Linked DNA regions of Alligator mississippiensis. The protein of the gene in region 1 interacts with the protein of each later gene in a pairwise test. Links are inferred from orthologs where the notes say so. Each region holds a gene or a part of one and is shown in the gene's direction. Other genes may lie near its edges.

What was found.
Region 2: the proteins of BMX (region 1) and PTPN21 interact in binary tests that used the Homo sapiens proteins (3 or more experiments, as listed by UniProt). The link is inferred for Alligator mississippiensis from reciprocal best matches to the Homo sapiens genes BMX and PTPN21.

Annotation. Positions count from the first base shown.
Region 1 is NC_081824.1:322,788,023-322,803,816, reverse strand, and holds the start of BMX (cytoplasmic tyrosine-protein kinase BMX), read left to right. Parts: upstream 1-7,024; 5' UTR 7,025-7,029; coding exon 7,030-7,167; intron 7,168-8,436; coding exon 8,437-8,541; intron 8,542-10,536; coding exon 10,537-10,618; intron 10,619-12,278; coding exon 12,279-12,398; intron 12,399-14,844; coding exon 14,845-14,906; intron 14,907-15,794. UniProt on the Homo sapiens protein: Non-receptor tyrosine kinase that plays central but diverse modulatory roles in various signaling processes involved in the regulation of actin reorganization, cell migration, cell proliferation and survival, cell adhesion, and apoptosis.
Region 2 is NC_081825.1:271,803,313-271,819,106, reverse strand, and holds the start of PTPN21 (tyrosine-protein phosphatase non-receptor type 21), read left to right. Parts: upstream 1-6,521; 5' UTR 6,522-6,951; intron 6,952-7,580; 5' UTR 7,581-7,669; intron 7,670-9,609; 5' UTR 9,610-10,646; intron 10,647-14,857; 5' UTR 14,858-15,049; coding exon 15,050-15,229; intron 15,230-15,794. Other genes in the region: ZC3H14 (zinc finger CCCH domain-containing protein 14), read right to left, coding at 6,153-6,195, 6,338-6,373.

The DNA of each region.
Region 1 (15,794 bases):
TATACACACACATGCTTTTACACACATACCTTTTAAATGCACACACCCCCTCTTGCACCCACACAACTTCTCTCTTTTAGTCACACCCTCTCTTATACATACAAACACATCTTCTTTTACACATACACTTATCCTCTTACACCCACACAACCTCTCTTATACAGCCCACTTTCTTACACCTACACACACACCCTCTCACATGTACACACATCTTCTTACAGCCACACAACCTCTCTTATACGCTCCCCTCTGTCTTACACATACACACAAATTCTCTCTCACACACACATACGCACATCCACTTGCACATAAACACTCCCCTCCTCTTACCCCCTTCCTCCCTGTGACCAATAACATAATTTGCTCTGGAAAACCTGCTTTGGAGCTGCGCATGTTAGTGGGTGTCCTTGGGAGGCCCTCATTTCTCTTTCCCTGGACTATATATCTGTTTTTTCCTTCCTGACACAGCCCAGAGGGGCAAATGTGAAGCAAGCCAATTTAGGCCTCCACAAAAACAAGGGGCAAAGAAATTGAGAAGGTAGCAAACAAGCTAAATAACACTTCAAGCAAAGCACAGATGTTAGGCCCATTTTGTGTCACTCAGTTTTGTAGAAGGCAGGGCAGGCTGGCACCTTGGGGTGTTTGTACACATGATGAAAATTGGCCATTTTTGCGCTTTAATTGCATCACGCTGTACACGTGCGGGGGGGGGGGAAGCAGCAAGGGAGGAGGTGAAGGATCAGGCCACTCACCACTTTTTTTTTTCTTTTTTTTTGGCAGAGTCTGCCCACACAAGCTGCTGCTAGGCTGTGCAGCCCCTGAGCTATGGAGGGGCCCGGTCCTTCCCTCCGCAGCAGCAGTGCCCCAAGGGGCCGCCCAGGCAGGCAGCTATCAGGCAGGTGCTGCCCCAGCTCAGAGGCAGCACCTGGTCTGATCCAACTGTTCCCTGAGCTGGAGCAGCACCCACCTGCTAGCAGCCTACCTGGGCAGCCCTCGGGGGGCACTGCCACTGTGGGAGGTGGGACTGGGGCCCCCCACAGCTCAAGGGCCACTTGGCCCACTTGCAGCTCACCGCCTGGTCACAGGAGATGCAAGCAGGCTCCTCAAAAAAAAAAAAAAGGATTAGGCTCCCTGCCATAACAGTGATGGAAGCCCTTAAATTGAAATGGTGAGTTTTTAACTGGCACAATTAAAAACCCACCATTTCAATTTAGGGAACTAAACCCCCATCACATGTACAAGTGCCCTTAGAGACTAACTGATTCAGAGAGGCATGAGCTTTTGTAGGTGTGATTAGTTTGTTGCCTACAAAAGCTCATCCCTTTCTGACCTGTTGATTGCAATGGGCCATGGGCCTAGCCCACTAAAATCATGTGTGCTGCCACTGTCAGGCGGCATAGAGCCTCATTAAAATCAAATAAATACGGGGTCAAAGAATGAAAAACAGGGTGTACACGTGAAGGTCATAGAGCCAAAACAAGTGCTCCCTGGGGGACACCAAGCAGAGCATGCCGGACAGCGCCCACCAACACTCGAACTCTGCTAGAGTGCCGGCAGCTACTGCCCAGCGATGTTCCACCTGGAGATGTGCGCAAGGACACCGAGGAAAAACGCCCCAGTGTCCCCGGGAACCTTCCCGGCCAGAGCCTCCCACCTGGTTAGCCAAATAGTCAGTTTGGCCAGCACCAGGAGGAGGTTGACTAGGAGGTCCCAGGCCTTGGTGGGGCGACGGATAGGGAGTGCATAAACAAAAAGGTGTGGGGAGAAGTGCAGCCAGAACCTGAGCAGCAGGTTCTGGAGGAGGAGGTACAGGGGCTGCAGCCTGGCGCACTCTAAGAACATGTGTGCCAGGGTCTCCCTCTGATCAAAAACAGGGCACTGGTCAGAGACCACTCCAAACCATGCCAGATACATGCCCGTCAGCTCATCCCTTTCTGAACCAGCTTCTCTCTAAGGTAGGGACGGGCAATTATTTCAGGCGGAGGGCCGCTTACTGAGTTTTGGCAAGCCATTGAGGGCCACATGACAGGCAGCCAGGGGAAGATAAATTTTAATTTTCTAAATTTTTTAGGGGCTCCGCGGGCCTGGTGGGCTGCATCTAGCCCATGGGCCACATTTTGCCCACCCCTGCTCTAAGGTGCCATCCTGCCCTGCTTTCTGCTGGACCAGACTAACACAACTAACCACTTCTCTTATTGCATGTCTAGCTGCTACTCTCCAAAAAAGATACTGGATCCACAACTGAAAAGCATAAAGGACTTAATGCCTTTGCTTCATTGGAGCTATGTTTCCCAATCTTTGCTCATGACCAGCATGGGGTCACAAAAAGCAATGGGGATTGTGTTGAGGCACAGAACACTCTGTTGCAGTTTAAAACCAAGGAAAAACTCCCTGCACTTAAAACGATCAGCTCAGTCCTAGATGCTTGATGCATCTCTTGAATGGGAGCAGTCAGTACAATGTTTAGGGCCTGTCAGGGTAGTTGCCTTAATGTTACACTGTGAGTGGTAGCTGTGAGGAATTAGTGGATAGAAAACCAAACTAGAAGCAGTATAACTGTTCATCTCATACTGTACCCAGGCAAATTAGCTTTACCTCTCAGCAGATGTAGCCAGACATTGGGAATACCTAATTTCACAGGAATATTTTAGAGGGATATGGCATTGAGGGAAGTGAGTTGATTTAGGAAGAATTTTCCAATTTCAAGTCAAAAGTGTTCAGGGGTTCAGGGACCCATTACAGGCACTCAGATACACTGCCAGAAACTGGGACTGTCTCAGAAGATACAGGATGGTCACATTAAATCCAACACCCTTTGAAGATTCTTTCCAGATCAAGCATTCTTCATTGTCCTCTTGAAACAATAAAATGTACTTATACATCATTTGTATTTACATTAGAGAAATGAGATCAAAGCAAATATTTAATTCCACAAAAAAGTATTTTTAGGATGTTATAAATCAGGGAAAATTAAAGCAAGAAAACAACCTTTTAAAATAAATACTACATTCTGTTGTTGCTCAAACTTTTCTGGTTTTCTTTATTGGCCTAATTCAAACCATACACAGTAAATACTAAAGATTTTCTTTGCATTTGTTCATCAAAATACCAAAAGTTATACAGATGTGCATTTTTTTGGATTACATACCTATAGAACAGGCATTTTTCCAAGCATTATGGAAACTTAGAGTCCTACTGCAATACATCCAAACGTATTTCTCTTACTTTAAATGCTGATTTTAAAAATTCTTTAGTAGCTTTTTGGCATCACACTAGCCATTGCAACTTCCCTTCCATATGAAAGAAATTAACAGTATCGTGTATTAGAACATTCTTGAGACTTTTCAAAACTTTACTGTTTCATATAGGAATAAAGACAGCATCTAAAAAATGCTGAAATATTGAACATCAAAATAAAAAACAATTGGGTCAGTTCATTCAAAATGTTTTCATAGATTCATATATGATAGGGGCTGGAAGGAACCTGGAAGGAATCATCAGGTCCAGCCCCCCTGCACTTGGGCAGGAAAGACTGCTGGGGTCAGGTGACCCCAGCAAGGTGGGCATCAGGATGTTTTTTCAAGATCACCAGGGTGGGTGACTGTATCCCCTTTGCAAGGAGCCTGTTCCAAACCTTTGGCACTTGACTTGTAAAGAAGTTTTTCCGTATGTCCAGTCTGAAGCAATCGTCAATCAGTTTGTACCCATTGTTTCTCTTTCCTCCCCTGGGGGGGGCCTCGGTAAACAGATGCTCCCCTGGGCCCTTGATATACTTATATGCTGCCACCAAGTCCCCTCTGACTTTGCTCTTCTCTAGGCTGAACAGTCCCAAGTCTTTCAGCCTCTCCTCATAAGACCTGGTCTCTAGGCCTCTAATCATGTGCATAGCCCTCCTTTGGATTCTCTTGAGCTTCTCCACATCCTTCCTGAATTGCAGCACCCAGAAGTGGATGCAGAACTCCAGCTGTGGTCTCACTGAGGCAGAGTAGAGAGGGAGGATGACATCCTTAGCTTTGCTCAGGATGCCTTGGTAGATGCATGCCAGTGTTTGATTTTCTCTGCCAGCTACAGCGTTGCATTGGTGGCTCATGTTCATTTTGTGATCTATCACAACACCCAGGTCTCATTCAGTTGGAGTGCTGGCAAGCGTAGCACTGCCGAGCCTGCATGTGTGTTGTGGATTATTTCGCCCCAGGTGGAGCACTTTATATTTCTCCATATTAAACATCATCAGGTTCAGGTCTGCCCACCTCACAAGCCTATCCAGATTGCCTGTATTGCCAGCCTGTCCTCAAGTGTGACCACACTCCCCCATAGTTTGGTGTCCATGAACTTTGTCAGTTTGCTTTTAATACCAGAATCCAAATCATTGATGAACATGTTGAAAAGCACTGGTCTGACTACTGAACCCTGAGGGACAACACTGGTTGCCTTCCACCATGTTGACTCAGCTCCATCAATCTATACTCTTGGGGTCCTACCACAGAGCCAGCTACCTAGCCATTGGACCGTAAAGTAGTCAAGGCCACATTTTCCCAATTTTACCATGAGGACATTGTGGGAGACTAGGTTGAAGGCTTTTTAAAGTCCAAATATATGATATCAACCTCATTTCCACTATCCAGGTGGCGAGTTACCTGTTTGTAGAAGTAAATGAGGTTGGTCAGACCTGCCCGTAATGAAGCCATGTTGGCTATCCTTCAGAATATTGCCTTCTGTTAGCCTATCAGTAATGGATTCTTTGACAATTTTTTTTTTAATAACTTCAAAATATTTCATTTAGGAACAGTTTTTAATTTTTCAAATGTTTAGCTTAAATTTCTAAAAGAAAGTCACTATAACTCAGAAAACTGAAGTTTTTCATTTAAAAACAAAATAAAATGTTTTGACAATTTCTAAACCTAAAAATGAAGAATAAAAACTACCCATACAATTGTACTTTTCCGATTAAAAATTTTACTTGAATCAAACTAATATTTTCAACAAGTAAAAAGTTGTCAAAATTATCCAACAAGCATTATTAATGTTCCTTGTTAAAGTCATTAGACACTGGCTCAAACTATTAGTATTGTCTTCAAATGGTAATCTTTCTTTTCATTTCAAAATTAATATCTAAATCATCTCCCCTTATTTAACAGAATGTGCAAAATGGCTTATTATTAAAGATGGTCTGGGAGCAGTAAGGGCGTGATTAAAACTGTATATCCCAGGCATTTTGGGACCAGGAATTTTTTTTTCTTTTGCCTGTTTGTCTTTTTCCAAGATGTAATACTGAAAAAATAGGAATGAAATGTCACAGAGTAGAAAAAAATAAAGAAAAAGAGGAGGAGGAAAATAACATTAAGAAGTTTAAAAAGCTGTTTCATTAAAAATATTTTAAAAGCAAAAAATGCTTCATTTCAAGTTGAGAGCTGTATTTAAAACTCATTTGAAATTTCAACATTTTTCATGTGTCCTCCCCCCCACCATTTTTTCAAGTAGGTCTTTATAAAATAATTAATTAAAAATCCTTCATATCTAACTTAAAATTACCAGTAACCCCTAGTCAAAAAAAAAAAAAGAAAGAAAAAAGGAAATTAACTATTCTGGAACAGATTGTCAGAACTCAAGCTACTAAGTAGTCAGAGGTCCTGATTCCCAAAGTAAAATATGTAAGTGCTTTGCTGAAGAGTGATGAGATGAATCAGATGCTTAAACTTAAGCCTGTGCTTATGCTGAATTGACAGCAATATGGAGAATGTCTGACCACCATTCATTCAGTCCAGCTCCAAGGTAAAAAGGCCAAACACCCTATCATTCTGAATGAAAGGGGCACAACATTGTAATTGTAAAGGTGACAGAGAAATTACAAGTTAGCTTACCTCTGAACTAACCACTCCACTACTTCTGAACAAGCCTATCTCATGATGGGAGGGATCTACCTGGGACAGAGGATCAAAATGCTTTGGGTCAGATACCAGCTGGTAACTGAGGGGTATTGAGAAGAAAGGTTTAAAATTGAATTATGGAAAATATGTGCCAACCTAGAAGAACAAGCATAGATGTCTGATGATGATAGGGACAGAGGAGGTAGGTGTGATGAATGGCATGCAAATGTATTTTTTTCTGATAGACTCTCTGCATTTAAAGGAACATAATGCACATTACAGCTCAGCAGGACACTTCCTTTTGGAACTCCAAACAGAGGGCAATTTACAAAGGACATACTTTCTCCTGCAAGTGCAACATTTGAACGAGGTAACTTAAAATACAAAGCTTTAAAAAATCAAAGGGTTTTCTCCTTCTACTATGTACTGTTGTACATACTAATTAATACAAACTGTAATTGAATAGTTTCACCTTTTGACTCTTTTTTTACAGGGTAAGGCAGGGCAAGGTAGCAACTTTGAGACTTGTTCATTCAGAAGGGCATAAGCTTTCATGACAGCACATGTCTAAACCAGTCAGTCTCTAAAATGCTACCCTGTCTTGCCTTGTGCATGACTTCAAACTAAGGTGGCCAACTACCTCTCTTTACATGATAAGTGAGACTGTTGTTTATATGCATTGACAGGACGAAATTGAAAATGTCCAATCTGACCAACACAAGGACATGCTTTTCTGGTCAGCAACCTGAAGATTTTGTTCCTGATTGTTGCTAGAATGATTTCCTTACAATTCTCAAGTATGACATATCTGTACTTAACATAGCTTCAGTTCCTTTGAAGACACAAAGCAAGAATTTAAAAAGAAAAATGTTCAGGCAACAAAGGGATAGAGAATGACTTACTTGAAGCATTATCTTAACCTTCAATTTTCCTGTAATCTGTTTATTTTTTACTGTGAAAAAACTAATCTGTTTTACATGTTCATAAAATATGAAATACAGTCTTCATAGCAGCTTGTTACAGCATGCTAGAAATTCATTACAATTTGATTTTAAAATTCCTTATAATCCATTAATAAGGGCAATTATCTTGTTGCTGTTTTAAAGATATTTGTCTTATTATTAATAAAAGTGACTATTTGCAATTCTTTTAGGGTAACAAAATGGAGAACAATTCAATTTTGGAAGAAGTTCTTTTAAAGAAGTCGCAACAGAAGAAAAAAATGTCACCAAATAATTACAAAGAAAGGCTGTTTGTTCTGACAAAAACACATCTCTCTTACCATGAATATGACAAACAGGTATGAAATCATTTTTCTTAACTATGTAGATCAAAGATTTTCCAAAGTCTGTTTATAAAATCTGCTTCAGCTGTGTAAAATTAGACTCTTTAATACTGAAATTATACCATGACAATTTAAATGCATAAGACTCAAGCAATTCAAAGTCATAGCTGCACATGCATATTAAGACTTGTATTTTTTAGCATATATAGTAACACAAAATACTGCATGTGTGCAGGGGGCAGAGATCCTGTCTGTCTCAAAAGCCAAAACTTTGAATTTCCTCTCTTTTTCTTCATCAATGTAGATACCGTGTAGCAGGGATGCTAGTATACTTTGTTCAAAGCTCTGTTTAGAAATGGTATGGGCCCAAACTCTAATTTCAGTCCAGAAAAACATTTAAGTCCATGTATAAGTCTATCTTTTTACAGGCTAGCATGTAAATTTATGCTTAACCTCAGAGCTAGGCTTATTTCCCATAGAAGTCAATAAGACTTAAGCATGCCTAAAGTTAAGCACATACTTAAATACTGTCCTGAACAGGCATGTTTTCCTACTGACAGCCTCTGAGCTGCTTTGCATATCTGACAGCTCTTCAGAATTAATGTATACAGGTCAGTGTAGAGTTTATTCCACACTAAAGTAAATGGTTAAGCACAATTGTGCTCTGTAAGATGTCTGCATATCATAGAATGAGTACTCAGAAGAGTGTCCTCCCTTGTGACTGAACAGCATACGCTTGTGTTATGAATTGTTGCATAAGTAAGTGTTGCATGATTGGGCCCATGTATCTTAACAAAGTAATAAAGACAATAACCAGACTCCCACTTTCTATTAGGGTCTGCTGCATGCTAAGTAGATATAAGCCTGCTGGTGGCAAGGGATGGCTAGATGACCTCCACAGATCCCTTCCAGACCTATTTTTTTTATGTTTCAGTGATTTCCCCTTCCTCATTTGTGCATTCCAATTTAAGAACTTTTTTTTTTTATTTCTTCTCTGGTGGATGGATTCAGTGTTGTAATCTTTTTACTTTAATTTCAAAGGGAATTTTGTCCATGTCTGGAATACAAGATAAGATGCCATGAATGTCTTTTAATACCTTTCCAAAAATATTAATAAAAGTGAAGAAATGAAAATACTCATTCTAGGTGAAACATGCAATTACCCTACTGCTTACATTTAAGCATCAGTTTGTAAAACTCATGTTGATCAATTAATTTTGATTTGATTTTTGTGTTTGAAATTCTGAGCACAAACTTGCATTTTACTTTGATTTCTGTTCTTAGAAAAAAGGAAGCAAAAAGGGATCAATTGATATTAAGAAAATACGATGTGTTGAAACTGTGAATCTTGATGAACCAACTCCTTTGGAGAGAAAATATCCATTTCAGGTGAGATTCCAAAATATCAAGGGCAACAAAAGTCCTCCTGCAGATTTTGAGGATCTTAACTGTAGAGAATAATATCTTGTGGCACTCCTGACTGTCACAAAAACTTGTAGCAGATTGAAAATGAAGCCATACTGTTATAAACTAGTGGTCTCCAACTTTTTTCAGTAGGAGATCCCTTTTGGAATTTAAAAGCAAACCAAGATCTACTTCTACCCCTTGCCAACCCCTCCTCCCCCACAACCTCTGCAACAAGAAAGTCTGTGGGGAAGGAAGAGGGGGGCAGATCAAGGCAGAGGGATAAAAAATTATTTAGGGGTGCGCCCCCCCCAGCAGGTAAGTCTGTGTGGGAAGGGGTGGGGGGAGGGGAAAGGGCCATGGGGGGGGGGCACAGATTGAGGCCCCAGCCCCAGCTGCACTCCCTCTCTCACTGCTGGGACCTCGATCTGTGCCCCCTGCCAATGGTGGTGAAGGAGAGAGTTGAGCTGGAGCAGGGGCAAGTCCTGCAGCCTGGGTGGGGTGGAATGGAGCCATAAGCAACTCATCTTCTGGTTAGAGCCTGGCCCCAGCCCACAGCTGAAGCCCACCTCACCCCACCCTATGTGCAGATCCAGAGGCACATGCCCCCTGTGCCCTCCTGGAGTGCATACCCCCCTCCCCGCACCCCCCGAACAAACCTCTCATGGCTCTGTCCCTCCCCACCCTGGCTGCAGGGCTTGCTCCTGCTCCAGCCCCACTCCCTCATGTACTGCTGCTGCAGCTGCCTGCACTGCCCCACATTTGGGGGGGGCACGTGCCCCCCCAATCTGTGAATGGGGCAAGCCACATGCGTCCTGCCGCTCCTATGTCCTGCCACTCCCAGACTGTGTCCCAGCCACTCCTCACATGTGTCCTGCCACTCACGATTACAGAGCCTCTGACAGTCGATCTTAGTCTGGGGGGGACTAACCTCCCTCCCCAGACTGTGATCAACTGTCAGGGGCTCCCTGATCAACCAGGCAATTGCAATTGTCTGGTTAGTGACCACTATTATAAGCTAAGACCAAAGACCACTGAAAGTAACGGGAGCCTTCTCATTCACTTCAGTGGAATGTAGATGAGATCTTGTGTACAACCAAGGCGCCCCCAGGGGTTACAAGAAATAATGGCCACAAGCTAGCAGAGAGCAGATTTGGATTGGACATTAGGAAGAACTTCTTCACAGTTAGAGTGGCCAAGGTCTGGAACGGGCTCCCAAGGGAGGTGATGCTCTCCCCTACCCTGGGGGTCTTCAAGAGGAGGTTAGATAAGCATCTAGATGGGGTCATCTAGACCCAGCACTCTTTCCTGCCTATGCAGGGGGTCGGACTCGATGATCTATTGAGGTTCCTTCCAACCCTAACATCTATGAATCTATGAATATATTCAAGTGTGTATAATAGTTTATTTTTCTGTAATGCTATATACAAACATGAAAAGTGTGTTTTTGGATATCACATGCTTTTGTTTTAATATGCCATTGATAGATGCTCCATCTAATCTTTAAAAGAATCAGTGATTTTTTTTCCCTTAAAGTATTGCCCTAATTCAATCAGGAATTGACTCAGGGAAGTTGTATGCCTCTTAATGGGACAGAAAGCCAGCCAAAGTGATCACAACAGCCCCTTCTGGCTTGATAATCTATGATTCTATGAAGAACCATAGTGTATATAGGCTTTTTACTTCTAATTATGATGTGAAATTGTGGTCTTATCCCAGCTAGAACTTGGCCACTTGAAGCACTACTGGTTAAGGCCCTTACTTCATATTCATAGAAAATCAGGGAACAGTTATTTAACTGTGAATCCAGATATTTTGGCTCTTCATGTCTTTTGGTGTCAGCTGCTCTGCAGAGCTTGATTTTTGGGTTCCTTATACATGTTCCCATACCCTTTGTTTCCCACCCCATTACAGTTAATGGACTTTGAGCCAGCTGAGATATACTGACTGTACAGTGAATTGCTTTTCCTGTATTTTTAGATAGTGTACAAGGATGGCCTTCTTTATGTCTACGCAGCTAATGAAGAGAGCCAAAGTCGATGGCTGGAAGCCTTACAAAAAGGTGAGGTTAGTTTTACTACTTGTGAGGGATGTTTTGTGTGTTTGTTTTAAAAATGAAGGAGATTTGTTCATAGAATTCATGCAAATAAAAAAAAAACACTCTAATTTTATTGTTTTCATGCAATATTTTTATCAGTAATTTTCAGTCCCAATCCCCCTCTATAGAACAGTGGTCTGAAATCTAAAGTTTTTATAGGAGTTGGTCAGAAATTTTCAAAAAGTTAAAACCTTTCATTAAAAATAAGTCAAAATAAAATGAGCCCACAGATTTTCTCTCCATTTTTTCACTGGGAGAAATTGTTGAAAATAGCTTTTTTATTTAAATCCTTCTTAGGTAGAGCTTGGAGGCAGAGGCCAGCAGGGATCTAAGTGGACAGATAAAGGAGTGGTGCAGAAGGCCAGTGGATGATTGGAGGGCTTTCATATATAGAGTCTTGGTTTTTGATAGATGACGTTTTTGATAGATGTATCCTCTGCCTATTTTATTTGCCTGACAGTATTACATGATAGAAACTCCTGGACTTCCTCTTCACAGAGTTTCTTGTCCATTAAGTTGGTTTTGTTCGACATATCAGAATGGGGTCTGACCTTTAGAGTATGGACAAAAGCACAGATTACAGTGAGTTAATAGGAGACAGGGGCTTACCACACATGGTAACAGCTTGCATGCCTGTTCTTACCCTGAAGTAAATGGAAGCTAACACTTAGTAACGTAGTCCTATTTCATGGGGAGTAAAGCTGCCCCAGGACAGTTTCACTTACCATGGGGTAAAAGAGGGCGAATAGATACTACATATCAAGTTCTGTGCAGTATGTTCCTGCCATATTTTAACTCACCATAATTTTGTTCATTTGCCTTTATTGTAAGAAGTAACTCTAAGATTTGGTTCACTGTCATCAGCTGAATTTATATTCAAGGATGGCAATCTAGCAAGGTATAGTTCTTAAAATAAGGTTGCTGAGAAGTAGCGTAATATTGTAGAAAGCCAGCAAGGTGCACTGTAGTGAAATGCTTATGATTCTTTAAGGAAAGGACAGATATAAAAGCATTAATAAATAGCTGGGGGTTGAGTTTCAACAAACACACAGTAGCTCCTATCTTTGTGGGTTCTCAGAATTCTTGAATATATAAATATGGAGCAACTGGTTTTAAAACCTCACCCTGTACTGTTAAATTTTTTTTTAATTACTTTCCAATACGAACCCTAAAGCACTGGCTTCAAACACTACAGTGTCACTATTGTCACTTACAATATTTGAAACCATTTCTACAGAATGAAGGGGTATTTTTAATACAAAATAAAGTGTTTATTTAAGAGGTTATTCCTTCTTGACTTAGTCAATACGCTTTCCATTCTTTCACACAATCAATTTGCCATTTGGTGTACTGGGTAGCTATTTTTTTTATCTCATTTATTTCTATAATATGTATTAATTGCATAGAGTTAGAGGACAAAATCATCTTGCCTATTTTTAAATATTAAATATTTTATTTGTTCCTTCTACAATTAGTTAAATAAGATTTCTAACAGTCTATTAAAGTCATTGTCTTCCCCTATAATCCTGAATCACAACTACTGAGTCAACTCGTCCATATTACTTACAAGTCATGTTCTATCAGGAAGCCTGTTCAAGTTCTTTTTTCCTCCTTGTTTTTCCAGAAATTAGAGGGAATGCTGATTTACTGAACAAGTATCACAAAGGCTTCTTCACCAATGGGAAGTTCCTCTGTTGCAACCAGACTTGTAAAGGAGCTCCTGGATGCACCATTTGGGAGAAATGTAATGTGCCATTTGTGTTTCCCTTTGAATATGTTTTTAGTTTTTAATGGTGTTTTTCATTATATTACTAAATCCATATAATCAGTACATACAGTTCTAATCAACTGGTAGATATAAAAGCTGTCTACTATTCCTCTTGATGTGTATGCTTAACTTCCACTAATAATACTGCAATGTCATTTAGGGAAAAATAATGTGATAGATGAGAAATACTCTGATTTGATATGGTTGCTCAAAAAGATAATGGCAATATTATACTGTATGTTCACGAGACAGCAAAAGTAAATTCACTCTTTTCTTTCTTTAGTTCTCTGGTTAAAATACAGTTATGCTACAGGAAAATAAAACCAAAATTCTTTATTGTTAGAGTTTGAATAATCAGATTAGCTACAAACAACACAAACTCAGCACAGAAAACAAGTGAATCTATTTTAAAGGATTCAGTTTGATATTACTCCAAAGTAAAACTGACCTTTCTCATCACATCTATAAACTGGACAATATTTCTAAACAGGCCCATATTTTCCCCTTTCTAAGCTTATTTGGCTATTTTCTGGAATCTGCATTTTAAAAAAATAGGTTTGCAATAAGCACAGCGGACTCAAGAGAATAGTTGAAACAAAATTTTAACCATTATTAAACTATATGCTGCTGGTTAGCAAGTTTACTTTAAAAAAAAAAGTTCCAATCAGATTATTTCAAAAGATGAGTAGTTCTGGGAACCTGATATTATTTAAAGTAAAGCAAATTCTCATATAGCATGAACTAATGCAGCTGCCTAACAAGCAGAGTTGGCACCTGGGGCCAATTCTGTGGGAAAGCCGGTGGAGAATGCAGTTTTGAGAGCAGGCATGGGAGCGAGGTGGCACCAGTTCTAAGAGCTTGGTGTGGGGGGCAAGGATCTGAAAACAGTGGGGAGGGGGCGGCAGTCTTGTCCACCCCAGGAACTCCTATATAGTCCCAGCTGAGCTGTTGCTGCCTCTGCATGTGCTCTGCCAACCCTGGCTGTTGCTTTTCAACAGCAGCAGCTGGGACCTGGCATGAGAATGCTGCCAGGGCATGGACTGCACAAGGTTGGGGAGTGATTCTGGCACCTCTCCTAACTTAGTGCTTTGGAGGGGTGGGAGGGGTTCTTGCCCACCCCTAGTTACACTACTCAATTCATGAGTCCTTCCCCTCCCCTCCCACCCCACCCTTCCAGCACCATTTGGCAAAAATGTAAAATAAAAATTGAAATAGAAATATATATTAATTGAAGTGGAAGGCCTAGAAATCTTGGGATAGTACATACAACACACCTGAGAACAGAGACTCCAGCAGTATGTTCAGACCATGCCATAGTATTGGAATTTCACTTTTTTTCTTTTAACTTTCTTCTTTTTAATTAAAAATAGAATCTGTCATGTCTTTTATTTCATTTGTTCTTTAGGTTTACATTTTTAGATTATGTGACTAGAAATTAACTACAATGATCTAAGAATACATGTACTAGAGGTTTTAACTTGACAGCGAGGGGAAAGCAACTCTCCTTCCCTGTTTATGACCTACATTCTGGAAGTGGGCATAAGATATGTATGCCTCCAATTTGAGCAAGTGACATTGAAAGATGGATTTTTTTAGAGGTACTGAGCACTTATGTGGACCATTGACTTCACTGTGATTCCTCAGCACATTTGAAAATCAGGCCTGACATGTTTCTAGATGGGTGCTCAAAAATGGAATCATTTGAAATGAATGAAAATGTAGGCTTAAACATCTATGAACCCAATCTATATGCCTGATATGTTAACCAACATTTAGAGGCCCCTTTTCAAAATTTGGTTCTAATGATGGTGAACTCCTTAATGATACCCTGTAGTGTGAATATAGGTGTTATATATATGGGGAGGGCACAGAAACTCTACATAATGTATTATCCTTGTAAAGGCTTGCCAGTTAACTTATTATAGTAATTTGAATGGTATTATGTTCCTTCAGAAGCAAATATACATGCAAATAACACCATAAAACCCATATACCATCACAAATACAAGAAGCAATTGTTTTGCTGTCAGTAAGCTTGTCTGCACATTAGGATGCAGAAGAAGGGAAAGGGAGAGGCAAGCAGTATAGCAAATGCGGGAACAGTATAGCAAATGCTCTTTTTGTTTCTTAAATACCAATAACTGCAAAAAGTGTTGTGTCTCTTTCTGAGTGTGGTTAGAAACAATTAACAGCAGCATCTGTGGGAGTACTCCTGTAAGAAAACTCCAGGGAGCCTCCAGCATTTTAACTATTGTTATTCTCACACAGGAGAGGACAAACATGGAGATTAAATGCTGGCAGTGGTCAGGGGGTTTTCTGCACTAGTGCTCTCACCTTCTCAGCCACCAGTTGAACAACATCAGTGAAAAAGGCCTTATATTCATGCTTCACATTGCTTTATTTTTATTCTCTTTCACAATAGATACAACTCTACATAGCACACCCAGTTCTGTGAAACCACTGCCTCCTGTCCCTAAACCACTGGTAGGTAAAAAGCTTTTACTGTCTGCTTACAGTAAATCCTGTTTATATGACAAATTCTTCTTTCAGCACCTGGGTGACATGGGAAATAATGAGAAGAGCTCTAGACAGCTCTTCAGTGGGAGGTACTTTGACATTATTGAAGTTTCCCTGGCACCCAACACAAAACAGGGGCAAGGAAAGAAAAATACAGATGGTAGTATGTCCTCCAGTCCATCCAATTCTTCATGCACCCACTACCTTGTCCATATGCCCCTGGATTTTCTGGGTAGGGAACACTGCAGAACCTGGAAAGTCTCAGGTTACTACTAGAAAGTTTGATAGAAATTACAAGAGCTGCCAAAACTAGGCTAGGCGCTTGTTATATCAATAAGGTTTTTGACACCTGTTCTGGCCATAACATTTGAGGATAATTTTACTATGACCAAGCAAGAGTAGAACTTGTTTCAAATATCATAGCCCATCCTGGTTTCTGTCAAAGGATTGCTTTGTCTATCTAGAGAGATGATCAGTCATGCAAATCATCTGCTGAGCAAGTTGACTCATGTTAAGACTTTATAGCTCATCATCCCTAATCCTGAGGAGATATTTTGAAAGGGAAATTTAAAAAGCAGGGACATGACAATACCCAGATGGGCTCCAGAGTTCAAATTCTATGCAAGTCCTTTATTAAAAGTGTAATAACTACTGGCTGGTCTGATTCACATGACAGCTCACTTACAAAGGTTAATACTGCTGTCACATAACTGGATGTATCTAACCCAGCAGCTATTGTCACAAGCCTTCAAAACAACTTTAAAAAACATTGTCCTTTTCCTCTTTCCTACTCAGATGCCCCATCAAAATCAAAGCCCTACTCACCTAATCTTCCTTCCATTTCTCTATTGACAC
Region 2 (15,794 bases), on another chromosome or scaffold:
CCTGCACGTAGCCAGCTGCAGCATGACTTGAGGTGCAGCAGCAGCTGCCTATGCTGCCTCCGCCCCCGCAGAGATGGGGAGGGAGTCCCCCAGCCTCCAATCCTCCCATCACCCTTACTTTCCCTTGCTCCTGGCTGGGCCACACAGTCAGTCGCTCAATGTAGGGGCCTCGATCTGGCCCCCACCCCTTCCCTTTGCCACAGATCAACCTGTTGAGGCTAGGGGCGGTGGGTGCACGCGTGCCCAGCTGTCACTCCAGCTCAGGATCAACCTGCCGGTTGGGATCCCCAGGTTGATGACCACTGCTCTACACTTCGGGGGCACAGGGAGATAGTGAACAAACCACATCAGCATGTGTAGAACCAACCCCACTGGAAATCCCAAAGTCAGGTAAAAATGGACAAATTCAAGTGCTTTCCTCAACAGGAACCTAGGCCTGTATGCAAGTTAAAACTAGGGGTGCATTAACATAGATTTTGGGGGCTGATACCGATAGCCAATTTTTAAGGAGGCACATCGGCTGATACTGATCCAATTTCTGACATAGCTGTGCGCGGTGAGTAAGTCTGTTGTAGTGGAAGAGAGGGAAGGGAAGGGGCATGGGGGGCAGATCAAGGCCCCTGTGGTGAGGGAGGGAGTGAGGCTGGGGCAGGTGCTGCCCCGCCAGCACAGAGCACAGGACCAAGCCATGGCTCATATGGGGGGGTGCGGCTCCTGCTGCTGCGTGCACCCCGGGAGGGCACGGAGGGGGTGGGGGGGGGCATGTGTACCTAGAGCTGCACAGGGTGCAGGTGGGGTGGGCTGCATCTGTGGGTTGGGGCCAGGGCTGTGCTGGGCTCTTCCCGGCAGGGGCTGGGCTGTGTTTGGGGCGGACGGTGATGGCACTGGGAGGGGGGGCTGCAGCCACCCCAAATTTCATCATATCCCACCTGTAGCCCCCCTTCCTAGCGTTGCTATCAGCTGCCCTGAGTGCAGCCCCAGCTCAACCCCCAACTCCCCACACACCAGAAAGAGCCCCACGCAGCCCCAGCCCACAACTGTAGCCCCTTCCATTCCCCCATGCAAACCTGCAAGTGATGAGGGTTACATTTTTTCCTGTAACCCTTTATGGATATTATCGCCTCCTTATTACTATATCTGATACAACCCTCAATACAAGGGAAATAGGCAAGTCACAGGGGAGTCCAAAGATGATTGAGGAGGCTGAGCCGAAATCCACATGTTCCGCTACAGACATGTCAAATAGCTCTAGGAGGAAGGAGTAGATCTAGTGATGTCAGGTCACAGCTCTTTTTATTTGTCTCTCTCATCTATCTACCTCCAAAGTGAGATGAATTTGCTCAACATGGTTAATCCCTTATCATAAATCACTGTGCCTTTGGGGACAATTTGGTACTTGAGTCTCCCAGGTATTGATGTTAATATTGCAGTACTTCAGATTAGCCTTCAAAGTGCCCTTGAATCTCTGTTTTTGCCCACCCCTAGAGTAGTGACTACTGGTGAATTGGGAGTATAGGACCTATTTCAGGAGTCAGTTGTCAGGCATCCTTGGGACAAGTCCTGCCCAACAGAGCTAATGTCATATAAACATGGCTTCAATGCTGGTGGCGTTTGCTTAAGCCAGAGCAATGACATTCATTCTTCTGTTCCTCCTATTGATATGGAGGATATTCCAAAGACAGATATATTGTCCAAGTTTCGCACCCATACAACAAGGTAGTGATGACAACAGTTGGTAGATGAAAAGTTTGGTTTGGGTCCCTTAAAGACCCAAGATATTAATGATAAGATATCAGAAACATCCAAAGGCAGCACCAGCAGATTTTATCTGGTGTTGAATCATCAGCAATCCCTTGCATTCGAGGATGACTGTCTTCCATGATTGCTTTAGATGGCTAATGAGACCGTTCTGGGATCGACAGACTGTTCCAACTCAGGTACGTGTTTCTGTGCAGGGTGGGTGGCTCTGGATTCTTGATTCAGTCCATGACACGCTGTTTCTGCTGCTCCTGCTTTTCTGTCTCCTGTTGTCATTGTCAGGTTTCAAAGTAGTGAAATCCTTGCAGCAGACTCTTCCACCATCTAGAGTGGTCCTAGGTGATAATCATCTGTGAGTTGATGTTAATGTTACATTTTTTCCAAGTTGGCTTTGAGGATGCTTGAAGAGCTTTCTCTGCCCGCCTCTTGAGTGTACGCCTTGACTGAAGTGGGAAAATAAAACTAGCTTTGGGAGTCTAGAGTCAGACATCTGGATGATGTAACTGGTCCAGCAAAGTTGATTTTGGATGATCATCACCTCAATGCTCATGGTGTATTTGCTTCTGCGAGGATGATAATGCTGGTGCCATCTGTCTTCCCACTGGATTTCAAGGATCTTCCACAGGCAGCGTAGATAGTATTCTCCCACAACTTGAGGCATCTCTTGTACATTGTCCATGTCTCAGCTCTGTACAGTAAGGTGGCAATCACAACTGTTCAATAAACTATAAGCGTGGTTTCAAATCTGATGGTGCAATCTTCAAATGCTTGTTTCCTCAGGAATTTGAAGACTGCACTTGCATTTTTAAGCTGATGTTGGATTTCTTCATTGATGTCAGCCTTCTGCTAGAGATGGCTTCTGAGGTACGGGAAATACTCAATGTTCTCCAGTCTCACTGTAAATCTGGAGTACCAGAACTAGGGGCTGTGATCTATGTTTACTTTTAAAACCATTATCTATGTTTACTTTTTGAGAAAAGTGGCTACCCAGCTAGGGGAAATGCTCAACATTCAACCTTTAATTGTAATACGTGGAACAGCACTTGGCTTGGGATGTGTTGGTAAAGTATCTTGAGTTTTGTGAGCATGAGCCCAAGTATTTCACACATTTCACAGAAGCAATCAAGAGTGACCTGGAGCTCTTCGATTGACTGAGCATATATGACACAATCATCAGCACATTCAAGATCAGTAATGGAGACATTGGGTTATCTTGAATTTGGACTGTAACTGTTTGATGTTAACAGTACATGCAATATTGGATGTTGAGTCCAGATAGAAGTCTATCAGCAATGTGATGCACCACAGCTGCGATACAGATGGAAAAAAGAACATTAGTGCAACCTCACATCCTTGCTTGAGTCCAGTTCTAATAGTGAAGGAGTCCATTTCCAAGCCACTGCTTAAGATGGCTGTTGTCATGTCATCATGAAGAAATCTGATAATGGTAACAAATTTTGGCAGCTTCTCTGTTGACCTGACTAAGGCCTTTAATTCAACCAACAAAGGCCACGTAAGATCTTGGTGTTGCTCATGGCACTTTTCCCGCAGCTGTCTAGCAAAAAAGATCACATCTATTGTATCCCTGAGCAGTCTGAAACCGCGCTGATACTCAGGTAGAATCTCCTCAGCCAGGAAAGCGAGTCTGTTAAGGAGAATGCAGCCAGGCTTTTCTCAGCTATGGACAGGAGTGCAATACTATTATAACTGCTGCAATTCGATCTACCAGTCTATTTCCTTTTTTGAATGTGTGGCTATAGCAGTTACATTCATATACCAAACCAAAAATTCTTAAGATTATGTTTTGCCCTATACTGCTAGTTTGTGACACATTATTACTGTTTCCAAACATGCAGTTATCTTACTACCACATGCAGTAGTTACTGCCACACTGGTAAACAGAAGAGTATGTTCAATTTTTAATAATTTTGATAAATTATGGATTAATATTTATGTTTTTCTCCATTATTTAATTTCCTACGGAGTGAAACTTTCCTTCAACAATTCTATCTACATGATAAATAACTTGTTAAAAGTCTTTGTCTTAAGCAATCTTACAAAGGAATAAATAGTACCACCTGTCACAAGACAGGATAAAAGCACACACACAGAAAACAGTCTATGTCTAGGGTAGTTAGAGAATAATTGATCAATTTCCTGAAGAGAAGTAGGGGACACTTGGTAAACATTAACTGGAATGCTGATCCAAGCACTAATAGGTCAGGAGTGAGAAAGGAATAAAAAAAACGATCACAGAAACTTGGGTGTAGTGAAGGTAGTCAGAAAGGGGAAAGGATACAATGGGGGCAGTGTGTTAGAACTGAATAAGGAAAACTTTAATTTAATTTTAAAAAGTCAAAGTTAACAGAAAAGAGTTAAAGCCATTGCAAAGATGACCTTTGTAGTAGCCCTGTGAATGGACTGAGTTAGTGGGGAAAGAAAAATTAGGAGACGGTAGAAGCAGCTGAAATCAGAGATTACTAATAATATCTTGGCACTAGAAATGGGAAAGAATAGATAGTGGTGATGACAAAAGAGGTAGAAGGACTGAAAGCCTAGTGAAAGAGGAAGGGGGAACAATAACTAAGCATGTGTAGGTTGTAAGCTTGGATAACAGAAACTAAAAAAAGGGCTATTGACAGAAAAAATTGGGAAGAAAACTTGCAAGGTAAAAATGATGAGCTCTCTTCCTCAGAACATGCTGAGTTTGAAAAGAGGATGGGATGGACATCCTTTCAACATCATTTTGTATTGGTTTGTAAATGCAGCTATCCATTTGCCATCTCTAATGGGATAATATAGGATCCAGTTAGGAGGTTTGGGCTTGATCCCACAAGTGCAAGATGATTCCTGAACCCATGTAGCCAACCTCCTATGGACTACTTCACCTGAATTCTGTATGGTACCATAAGAGGAACTATAACGGGGTGGGCAACTATAGCAGGGGCGGAGGGCCGCTTACTGAGTTTTGGCAAGCCATCGAGGGCTGCATGATAGGCAGCCAGGGGCATATAAATATTAATTTTCTAAATTTTTTAGGGGCCCTGCGGGCCAGACAGAATGGCCTGGCGGTCCGCATCTAGTCCCTAGGGCCGCATTTTGCCCACCCCTGAACTACAAGCACGTACCCAGTTTGAGGATTGAATCTCTTCTCACAACTGTCTTATTATTACCCACTTTGGCTGCTTTAAAACAAAAAATGCAGACTGCTGAATTTGCAGTCATGGGAGAAATTACATTTCATAGTGCTCTTTCTTTGGGGCTCATTTTTCTCCCTCGCTCACTTATCTTTGGGTAAAGGTCATCCACAAACACAAATGCAACTACTGTCTCTACACAGACAATTCACAACTCCACCTATTACTACAGGACTGCTTTCTTATCTATACTAAAAATCTTAGTCTCTCTCTCTGGTTTCCCCCTTCTCTGTCACATCCAACGTACACTGCTTGCCAGCATTTTCAAAGCCCTCCAACTGATCCTCATCCTTCCCGTGCTCTCATGCAATGCTGAGGTCGACTCCAGGCTCCACCTAGCACATGACTTCAGGCTGCATTAGACACACACCTTTGTTCCTTTTGGCTGTCCCTTACACCTGGGAAGAGTTGCCCGTAAGCACCTGCAAAGCCACTTCATTGTTCTCACTGTTAAAAGACTCCTTTCCTCAGGACTTACAAAAACCTTGACAAAGCTTAGCCTGTTATATCCTTGTCTCCCACACTGGTCAGCACCACACCTACTGCCTCCTCTTGAGTATATGCACTTAAGCTGCTTATAGAAGTAATTCCCCCACAAAATCAGTGCTTTACTTTAAACTCTGTGTGCCCCTGCGTTGAGCCCAGTGCATGTGCACTGTTTTGGCACTGTTATCTAATAGCTGGTTGAATCAGCTGTAAATAAAAGTGCACCCACCAAAGCGCCCGATCTATACAGACACTGTGAAGTGGGGTTGAACCAAACACTGCTTCTTCACGTAAAGTGTGTTTTTGTTTTCGACCAGTCTTAAGGGCAGGGACTATCTGCTCAGGGTCAGACCGACCGGCGTACTAGGGGTCAGCAAGGAATTTTACCCCACGGTCAGACTGGTAGGGACGGTAGCGGGGGCCCTCCGACTGCGACCTCTTGCGTGCATGTTAACTAGACGTTACAGGAGCAGGACCTGCTTGACTCGTGGGGCTGACGTTAGTCTCATGTCGTGGGCAGACGATCAGCTGCAGGGACGACTTGGACAGGGCTGGTGCTGGCCGCACTACCGGCCTCTGGAGGCCCCTTCCCGCCCCACGAGTCTGCGCTGCGGGACGGGAGGCGCCTAGCCTCGCCCGCGGGCCCAGCGAGGAGCACGCGGGCGGCCAGGCCGAGTCCGGCCCCAGCCCCAGCCCCGGCCGGACACTCACCCACGTAGGCGCCCAGCTCCTGCAGCTTCCCCTTGATGGCGCCCTGGGGAGAGACACACTCGCGTTAGGCAGGAGCGGGAAGGGGGCCTTCCCCGGCCCCGGCCCCCGGCCCCGGCCGCACAGGCCCTGCTCCCGGGGCCCGACCCCGCGGCGGGGCTGGGCTGGGGGCGCCGCCGCCGCCTCACCCGGATCTTGCGGCTGATCTCGGTGCCGATCTCCATGGCCGCGATGGCTCCCTCAGCCGCGGGCCGCGCCGGAGCCGGGGGGCCGCGCCGGGGAGAGCGCGGCCGCCGCCCGCAGCGCCCCCTGCCGGCGCCCGGGAGAGCCCGGGCCTGCGCTCCGCTCCGCCCCGCCCCCGCCCCCAGCACGGCCCTGGGCCTCGGCCTGCGCCGCCTGCCAGGCCTCGCCGCGCCCGGGCAGCGAGCGGCCACGTTTTAAAATTCGCTTGAAGTACTCATGGCTGGGGCTTCGGGCATGGCCGGCTGTTGCCCCAGGGGCTGGGAAAGTCCGGCTTCAAGCACCGCACTCAGCCCTCATCAAAAGCCCCCGCCCCCCAATAAGGTATTACAGCGCAGGGAGAGGTCTGTTTGCAGGGGACAGGGGGCCCACACCAAGAGCCAGGAGGAGCTAGCTGCCCGTTGAGTCCAGTGGCGCGGCAGCCTTAAGCAGGCAGCTGCCCATTTTGAGGCGAAGCCGCTCGCCCTTGAAGCACAGGAGAGAACAGAGGAAGGAAAAAGAGAGACGTCTTGGCCTACGGCCTGTTCTCCCCTGCGGAAAGACCTGCAACTTCTGCAGACAGGTCTGTGGCTCAAGGACTGGGCTCTGAAGTCACCTCAAGACCCCTGGGCATCTAGTGCCACCTAAGTCGGGGGTGGGGGCACATGCCCCCCCCAGTGACCAGTCAGCGGCCACTCTCGCTGACCAGGCAGGGGTCCCCCCGTGGCCAATCTCACCGACGGCACCCCCACTCCCCGGCCAGCGCTCGCAGGGGGAAGACCCGTGCTCCCGCCTGCCCCCCGCCTGTTGCGTGAAGGGCAAGCAGGGCTGGTCAGGGGGGCGGGCCAGGCGTTGCCACTGTCGAGACCTGTCAATGAGCTGGAGTAGAGACTGTCCTAAATGGAGGGATTGCGGACAAGTAAACAGGGATGGACTTTTAATCTGCATAGAAAGGATGTGGATTTGTTGTAACCTGCCAAGGGCTGGGTATGTCTGACACTTCACAGGGTACCTTTTTCTTTTCGCTGCCGATGAATAAATTAGATGGTGGCATTCCTCCTCAATGTCCACAAGGTCTCAGAGATGCTGTGAAAAAAGAGCAAAAGGAAAGTGGGGAAGAAAATGGATTTGTAAAAAGGAGATATGGTTTTAACACCCTCCCCCCTGCAATAATCGCCAGACATCTCTATTTTTCTACTCTTCTTCTTTCAGGAATCAGGATTTTCTCACTGATCTGATGAGAACTGTGTGCAAATGTCTCTGGATGTGAAGATCACTGGATGCCATCCCATCCATCGTAGGTACAGTTCCAACCATGTTCCTTTCATTAGAGTCTGGTCCCATGCCAGCCCTGGGATTATCAAAACGTGGGGTGTGGGCAAGGTGGATTTAACCACCTGTACAAACCAGCATATCCTGGCTGTACTGACCAGCACTGCCAGGATGGAGAAAGGTAGCGTAAGTGATGTTGTAGCCATGATGGTCCAGATGCGAGAGGCAAAGTTTTCTTAGAGCGATATCTTTTCTTGGACCAGCTGTGTAGTTGGGATAAAGTTAGACAAGCTTCCCCATGTAAGACATTCTTCCTCAGTTTTCTGAATCTAGGAAGCCGGGCACAGCAAGTTATGCACTGCCTAGTGGAGGGTCTGAGAGAAATTCTCAGGCGCAGCCAACATACAGTTAGGAAAAGGAAGGAGAAAGACACAGTCTCAAGTCTAGAAGGCAGGGTAGATTTGCCCCCAATACCGTGTGCACACGTTTTCCCGAGCTGAAGCTCACTTCATGAATGCTGACCGGAGACAGCTGCATGCAGCCTGTCCCTAACGCAGGGTTGTCAGCTGGGGGTACATGTACCCCTGGGAGTAATTGAGAAGTCCCTAGGGGGTACATGCAGGCAAGTGGGGATGGAGCGCTGCCACCCACCACCTCATGCTGCCACACAGGCTCCACCTACCCAGCTGAACACCGAGGGCAGGGAAAGCTTGCACGGGGTGGCCGCAGCAGCTCTGCATTTGGCCATGCACTACCTCCTGCCCCACTCCACGTCCAGCATTGCCCCATGTGTGCTGGGGCTGGGTGGCCCCCTCTTGGGCTGTATGTGCTCTGCGTGTCTGGGCAGGCGGCAGGTGCGCGCTGCGCTGTGCACAGACAGCTGGGGGCCGTGAGTGCTAGCTGTTTGAGGTGGAAAGGGAAGGGAGGGGAGGGGAGAGTGGGGAGGTGCAGGGAGGGGCCCAGCCCCTTGTTCCACGAGCTCCGCTAGCTCATTCCTCCCGGGTAGCGGTGCCAGGAGCAGCGGCTGCTGCGGCTGCCCTGCGCTTGCCACCCCTCTCCCCCCCCGGGGTACACATATTAAAAAGGAGGCCGCCAGGGGTACACTTATTAAAAAAGGTTGAAAATCCCTGCCGTAAGGCATAGCCTGATGGAACCTGTTTCCTTCAGGAGGAACAATCAGCCTCAGGTCTGGTCTCTTTCCTCACACCACACCCAGCCTCTTCCACAGGGCCAGCTCAGTGTAAAGGGCCACACTGCCAGGGTTTGAATTATGGGAGAGCTTGGGGGGGCTAAGCGCCCCCATAAGAGAACCCCCCCCCCCCCCCCGCAACAGCCCGGAGCCCAACCCACCTTGTGCTTTTCTCAGCAGCCCTTCCGGCTGCCACTGCTGTTGGGGATCCATGTGCACACCTTGACCCCAGTTAGGTTTTTTCTGCAGAATCCCTGCCGTGCGCCCCCCCCCCCCCACCCATGTGCCACACACTGCAGCATAAATGACTGGTACCTCCTGAGACTGGGGGGGGGAGGGAGGGCACAATTTGTGGGTGGCAGTGTTGGCGGCACAGTGGTGAGCAGTGGCCACCCGCAGAAGCCAGCTGGGAGAGAGGGGTTATGAGTGGCAATTGGCGAATGCCCACAGAAGCCAGCAGTGTCAAGTGGAGACCACCAGCAGAAGTTGGCGGCAGTGAGCAGTAATCAGCAATGCAGAAGCCAGCTGCCATGTCAGCCAATCTTGGGGGCATGTGCCTCCCCACCTATGCACGGGAGGAGACCCTGCTGGATTAGAAATGCCCCGTACTTATGATCTTTGGGGCCCTGGAGAGGTGGTGCCAGCATTGGCAGGTCTTAAATATGAAATTATTGTATTGGAACTCAAAATTACCGTATTTGCTGGAAAAAAAAAAACTATCATACACTGAAAACGCATGCAAATAAGTTTTCTTCTGTACTTTATGTTGATCACTGTAAGTCCTCAGTCTGCGAGCAAGAACGTGGAAGTGGAAGCATTTCTTTATTTCAAGAGGCGCAGTGTTAGGAGGTGCTGACAGCCAGCCCAAAACCGGATTAAGATTCTCCGTGACTTGAGTTTTGCATTCGCTGCATCAATGACCTGCCTCAAAAGTCATCATACGTTTTAAACACTTTTACTATTATTGACCCTGCGTTGTACGAGGGCTGGAAGGATCTTACAGACACCATGGCTGTCGTACCCCGGCAAGGCTGGGCAGCGCCCGGGGTGCGGCTGCCGCCAGCCGGGCGGCCCGGACACAAGAGCACGCGGCGCCCCGGCTCCGGGCCCAGCCTTGCGCCCTAGTGCGCGTGCGCCGCTGGCCGGAGCTGGCGCGGGGACCCCGAGCACCGGCCGGCACTGCCGCATCCCCCGCGCCCGCGCCCTTGTCACACGGCAGTGGCGTCTCCCGTCAGTGAGCCGCGGCTCAGACTCAGGCGTCCGCTTGGTGCCTGTGACCGAGGCACCGAGTAAAGGCTCCTTGTTCCCGGCACATCCCGGAGGGGAGGAAGGGGGTGCTGCACGGGCACGGGTCAGCCCCGGGCAGGACCCGCGTTGTGCACCCGCCTGAGGCGAGGGCGGGGCGGCCCGGCCCGGCCGCTCCCACGGCTGCCACTAGCGCTGTCCCGGGGGTGGGCGCAGGGTGGCAGGAGAAGCAGCGGCGCTGCCCCGTCCCCGCCCCCGCCCCGCGCATTCCTGCTCCCTGAGGTCACGGGCTGCGGGCGAGCACTTGGCGGCTCCGCGTATCCTTCCGCACGGCCGGGAAACGCCTCCAGGCCACGACACTCCCCGCCCGGCCCCGCGCACAGCGCCTCCGGCCCCCGCCAGCCTGCGCCAGGGTTACTTGGCCGGGCCGGTGCCGACTCCCCGCGCAGCGCCGTGACCCGCGGCGGGGCTGTTTTCAGTAGGGGCGGGCGGGCAGCGGCTGTCCCGGCGCAGTCGGGCCGTGCGACCCGGATTGGGGAAGGCGCCTGCGTGTCACCGGATCGCGGCGGCAGGTAACGGGGCAGGGGCAGGGCAGGGCAGGCGCCGCGGGGGACAGCGGAGCTCTTCCTCCCTGCTTTGTTTCTTCCTCCCCCGGCTGGTGAGGTGACTAGAAGCAGCCTGGGGGACGGAGGTGCCAGAGGAAGTTTGTGATAGTTTGCTGGTGCGCTTTGCAGAGCTGTGCTGGGGTGGCCTGAGACGGGGAAGAAAGTGCCCTACTTGTTAGGCTGCTCCGCATAACCATGAAATAATGGTGTGAACTGCAAGTGTTAGCCATCCTGGGCACCTTGTTTCTCTGCCCTTCATTGTACTTTTATGAGGCAGACTCATCCCTGGAGCTTCACCTGTTTTAAGTCAAATACGAGGCAATTCTCAGAGAGGAGCTAAGAGTTGTAGAGAAAGAGGAGCTACCTATGACAATCCTTGGGACTCCTGTTTGGCTTGTGAATATTGAAAACGATATATATGCGTTCAGATATAGATGTGTAAAATCAGACGATCAAAAAATGTTTTTTAGTTCCCAGATAGATACTAGGCCTGCTTAATAAAGGGAACATTCACAAGAAGTCTAAATAGCAGCCAGACTTTTGCATTTCCAACTTCTGGCACTATAGCACAGGGCTCTTTTGTCCCAAAGTAGCAGTACATTGAAATAATGCGTGAGACAAATATGATACCAGCTGGTCTTTGGAAATGACAGCTGCTAAATAAAAACAATATTGCACTGTTTGCAAGAACTGTGCTTGGCCAGCAGTAGAAGTTGTCAAATGACTTGTGACCAGTACTCCTCCTCCATTCCCTTTCTTGTGCAACGCTAGTGTATTTTGTTATTTATCAGGGGCTACCTCTGATGTAGTGCATAAGAGGCACTGGGATCCAAGCTCAGTACAGGTATTTGAACTTATTGTACCTTTCTGGCAATGTTTTTAAATGAAGTAAGTGTAGTTTAGAAACAAGAAAATGCTACCAAAATGTCTAATTATTAGAGTGAAAACTGGGGGATTTTTAAGAAAAATGTTCCAAGAATACAATATGACCTTTAAAAATTCCTTCTTTGGATAAGGGAACATTAAGTCTGATTTAAAATTCCTTCCTAGGCAATTTTTTTTTTGTTTGCATTAAAATAAAATGATAGAAAGCAGTGCTGTTGATCATGCTTGTTAATGGAAGTGTTAACTTTCTTATAATGTCACCTGTCTGTCTTTCTGGAGGTTTTGAGTTGTATAGACATTATTTGGCAACATTATTTGGTGTCTGTTTAAAGGATGTCAGGAGATGAAAAAAAGATTGAAAAACTTAATTCCTTTAAAACCATGATCAATCAACACTAAAGTTGTGCCTGAAACTTGAAGAAGTCTTCAGCATTTGGCTTGCCTTAGTAAAGAGGGGCAGTGAAGGTGTGTAAGAGAACGGTGCTATGGTCTCTTGTACAACCTGCTTAACCAAGGCATGGGGATATGAGCTGAGGTCAGTGAGCCAAAGGTTTTGGGACCGGAAATAAACTCACTTGGCTCTGCAGGGAAACCTGTTTCTGTCTATTAGTATTGTAGTAGCATCCAGAAATGGATTAGGTATTGCTTGGACACGCGGGAAGACTCAGATTCTGAGCTAAGCTGCATCCTCTTGCCTTTGAAATCTTCCAGTAGCTGGGACAGGGAGGAGGCAGCCAACCATTAGAAGCTCCTGCCAAGTAGATATGGAGGGTCTTCTGAGCCAGAGCCGCAAGCATGGCACCGGTTCCTTTCTCTCCTGTGTCTTACCCCATCACCTCCTTGCTTTTCTTTATTCTTTTCTATTGTGCTGGAAACTTTCGACCTGAAAGAAGGAACTACATAACTCAGGGTGAGGAGTCAAGTAATGTTTTTTCTTTGATTGCCTTAGAATAGTCTAGCACCTAAATATGGATTTGAGCATCAAATGTATTAAGGGGATAAACCTAGAGTGTTCTCAGGAAGTCCAGTTCTTCTTCCTGCCCTGACACAGTCATGCTGTGTTCTGTCAATAGGTGTTTAGAATTGAAGCAAGAGAAGACTTAGCAAATGGCAAGAGTGGCCAGTTGATAGAAATCCAGGCCAGCACCTCATCTGCAAGATGTATTATTCATATGTCCCAATCTGATGAGATGGTTGGGAAATTGTGGGGATTGTGACAGAGGTAGCTCATCTTTGGGAGCTCAACATGGATGGTTTGGTTCTTTCTTACCAAAAGCAAGGGAGCGTTGAGGGTCTCATTCTCTGTTGTGGGTGGGTTGATGCCCTTGTATGGATCTTTGGCCTAGGTGCCAATCCCTCCAAAACAGGACTGAGTGGAAGCTCCTGTAGCACAGGCTTGTGGACTTGTCCCACTGCAGTGCTGCAAGTTTCTGCTTCAGGACTGGGTTGACGGCTGCACTCCAAGGCGAGGGCTCTGGTGCCCCTGGGTCATAGTTCTTGTTCTTCCAGTAGGCTGCGGGGAAATGTGCTTTCTGGCTCTGCTCCTGCTGGCAAAGCAGTGTCCCCATGTTGCTGTGGCTGGTGTGATCCCCTCACAGGCTCCAGTGTGAAGACAGCTACAGGTTCTGCCTAAGGAATGCTGGCCGAGGCATGGGGCATCATTGCCCCACCGGCATAGACCGACTGTCAGTGGGAGACAAAAACCTCAGTGTTTGATCCCCTTACCCTGCACCCAGGCACTGCACTGCCTGGCCTGGCTGCAGGGTCATCTGCCCTGTGTGCATCGTGCCATGGCCAACAGCTGTCTTTACAGCATGCAGGGGCCTGTGCCAATGTGTTCATGGATTTCTTTTAACAGCGAGCAGACCCTGAGGCAGCATTTGGGATGAGCAGGTCACTAGATGACTAAGGTTTGTAGGGCTCATGAAAGAAGCCTTTGTTATTTGAGGAGGGAATTTAGAAAATAAAGTATTACTACCTTCCTCCCCCCACTGAAATGGAGCCCACTGGTTTGGGGGGGGGAGAATGGAGAAGGAGAAAGGAGTGCTGGCACTTGAAACACTGATCAGCTGCTCAGGGTTGCAGCTAAGTGCTGATATGGGGAATATTAAAGGAATAGAACAAATGACACTGGCATTGGTTAGGATGCAGTTGTTACACCCCTTCTATGACCAAAAATGAAAGCTGCATTTTGCCCAAAAGGGAAGGCCTCAAATGATACAGTAGTGAGTAGCCCTAAGGCAGTGTTGGAGCCTTGGTTTCTCTGGCCCCCTCTATACACTACAGGTATATGCAATTAATTGGAGACCAGCTACTTGAGCAAAGTAACTATCATGCCATAAAAAGCTCCAACCAGCTATAAAGTTAGACCTGGAAAATGTACTAGCTTTATAGCTGGTGCTATCCAGCTTTAATTTGAATGTGTAGCAGGTTCTTCTCTGTGGCTGGGCGTCCTGTCAGCCGTGGGCTCTGAGCCACAGGGGTGCACCTTGCCCAGCCAAGCCTTCGAGTCCCTCAGCTGCTAAGACCTAGAGTCCAACAGCTGTGGACACTGGGTGTCTGCAGCATGCCTTCTGGTGCTGGGCCAAGCAGGACCCTGGCAGCCACAGGGCACAGCTGTGATCTGCCAGCCCCAGGGGTGCTGAAACCCCCGAGGCAGGGAGATCCCTGCTGCAGAGATCTCCCTGCCTTAGGGGGCTCCCAGCCACAAGAGCTTGCCTCTTGCCAGTGAGGGGGGAGCCTGCGCCAGCAGTAAAGCACTATGGGATCTAATGCACGATCCCACAATTGCACCTCGCGCCATGCATGTGTGGCAGGCAGGAGGTGTGATTCTGTGGAGTAGATCCCATTCCACCTTTACCTGCATGTATAGAGAGAGCTTCTTTGACAGAAAGCAAATAGTTCCATATACTGACTTGCAGTTCCAAATGCTTGGGGCACTTAGGTTTTCCCAGGAGATTTTTCATACAAGTACTGATTCAGTTCATGAACTTATTAGTCGTTCATACGGCCCTTTTTCCTTTACAGTCATTTAACAGCTTTACTCATTACACCATCTGGCTGATGAATAAAACTGAGCTGTTGTGACTTACCAAAGGGCATTCTATCAGTCTGTGGCAAAGCCAGGAATTCTAGTTCTTATTCACTTTTCCAACCCTAAACAGAGTTCTCTGAAGGAGAAAAATGCATCATGGATTTAGAAATATATACTGTAATTTTGTAGATTTCACAAGTTTCTTATTGCCCTTTCAAGTAAGTTGCTTCTGACTTTCTCTCTTCTTCTCCCTCTTTAGAGTTCTTGCGAATGTTCCCTCCACTAAGACCTTGGTGGAGAACCTGCTCTCCTTTAATGGCTGCTGCTGCCGCTGGTTGATCAGTGGGAGACTTTACAGTTCCTTACTCCTTGGGAGGATACGTCTACTTCCCTTATTTATTTTTCTGTGTGGTGGTATTTTTTCCACTGACCGCGTGGGTGGGAAAAGAAGATGCCACTGCCTTTTGGGCTGAAATTGAAACGAACTCGACGTTATACAGTATCCAGCAAGAGCTGCTTGGTGGCTCGCATCCAGTTGCTCAACAATGAATTTGTGGAGTTCACCCTCTCTGTGGAGAGCACGGGCCAAGAAAGCCTGGAGGCTGTAGCTCAGAGGCTTGAACTTCGGGAGGTAAGCAAACTAGCAACTGGACACCTTGACTTCTCTAGCCATCTATTGCAGTGGATTACCTAACCCAGTGATTCTCTACTATTTCACACAACAAAGTATGCCCTTGAAAATTTTCAGGTTAAATTTTGTCCTGTAGCAGACATCTCAGCTTCCCTTTAATTACATATGTTCTGATCCAAAGTGGAACTTTGGCTTTTGGAGCAGTTCATCTTGCAATTTACATTAAAAAGAATGCACAAAAGAATGGGACATGGCAGCTGTGCATCAGGTTTAGCATAGAAGTTTCCTGTGCTGGACAAAAGATAGTGGTTATTATTTGTTAAACACTGACCGTGTTCATGGCACTCTGTGAGACAAGACAACTCAAAGGGACAGAGATAAGTTGAATGATTTCTAAACAAATATTCAGTTAACTGGATAAAGGAAAAGTTTTTATGAATGTCCTGACAGACTTATTTGCATGTGTGGGTTCCTGGTAAACTGGTGCTGGGAAAAGATTCAAAGTATCAGTACACCAGTATTGGTACACACTGGTGCTTGGGTATTTGCAGCTGTGTGTGCATAT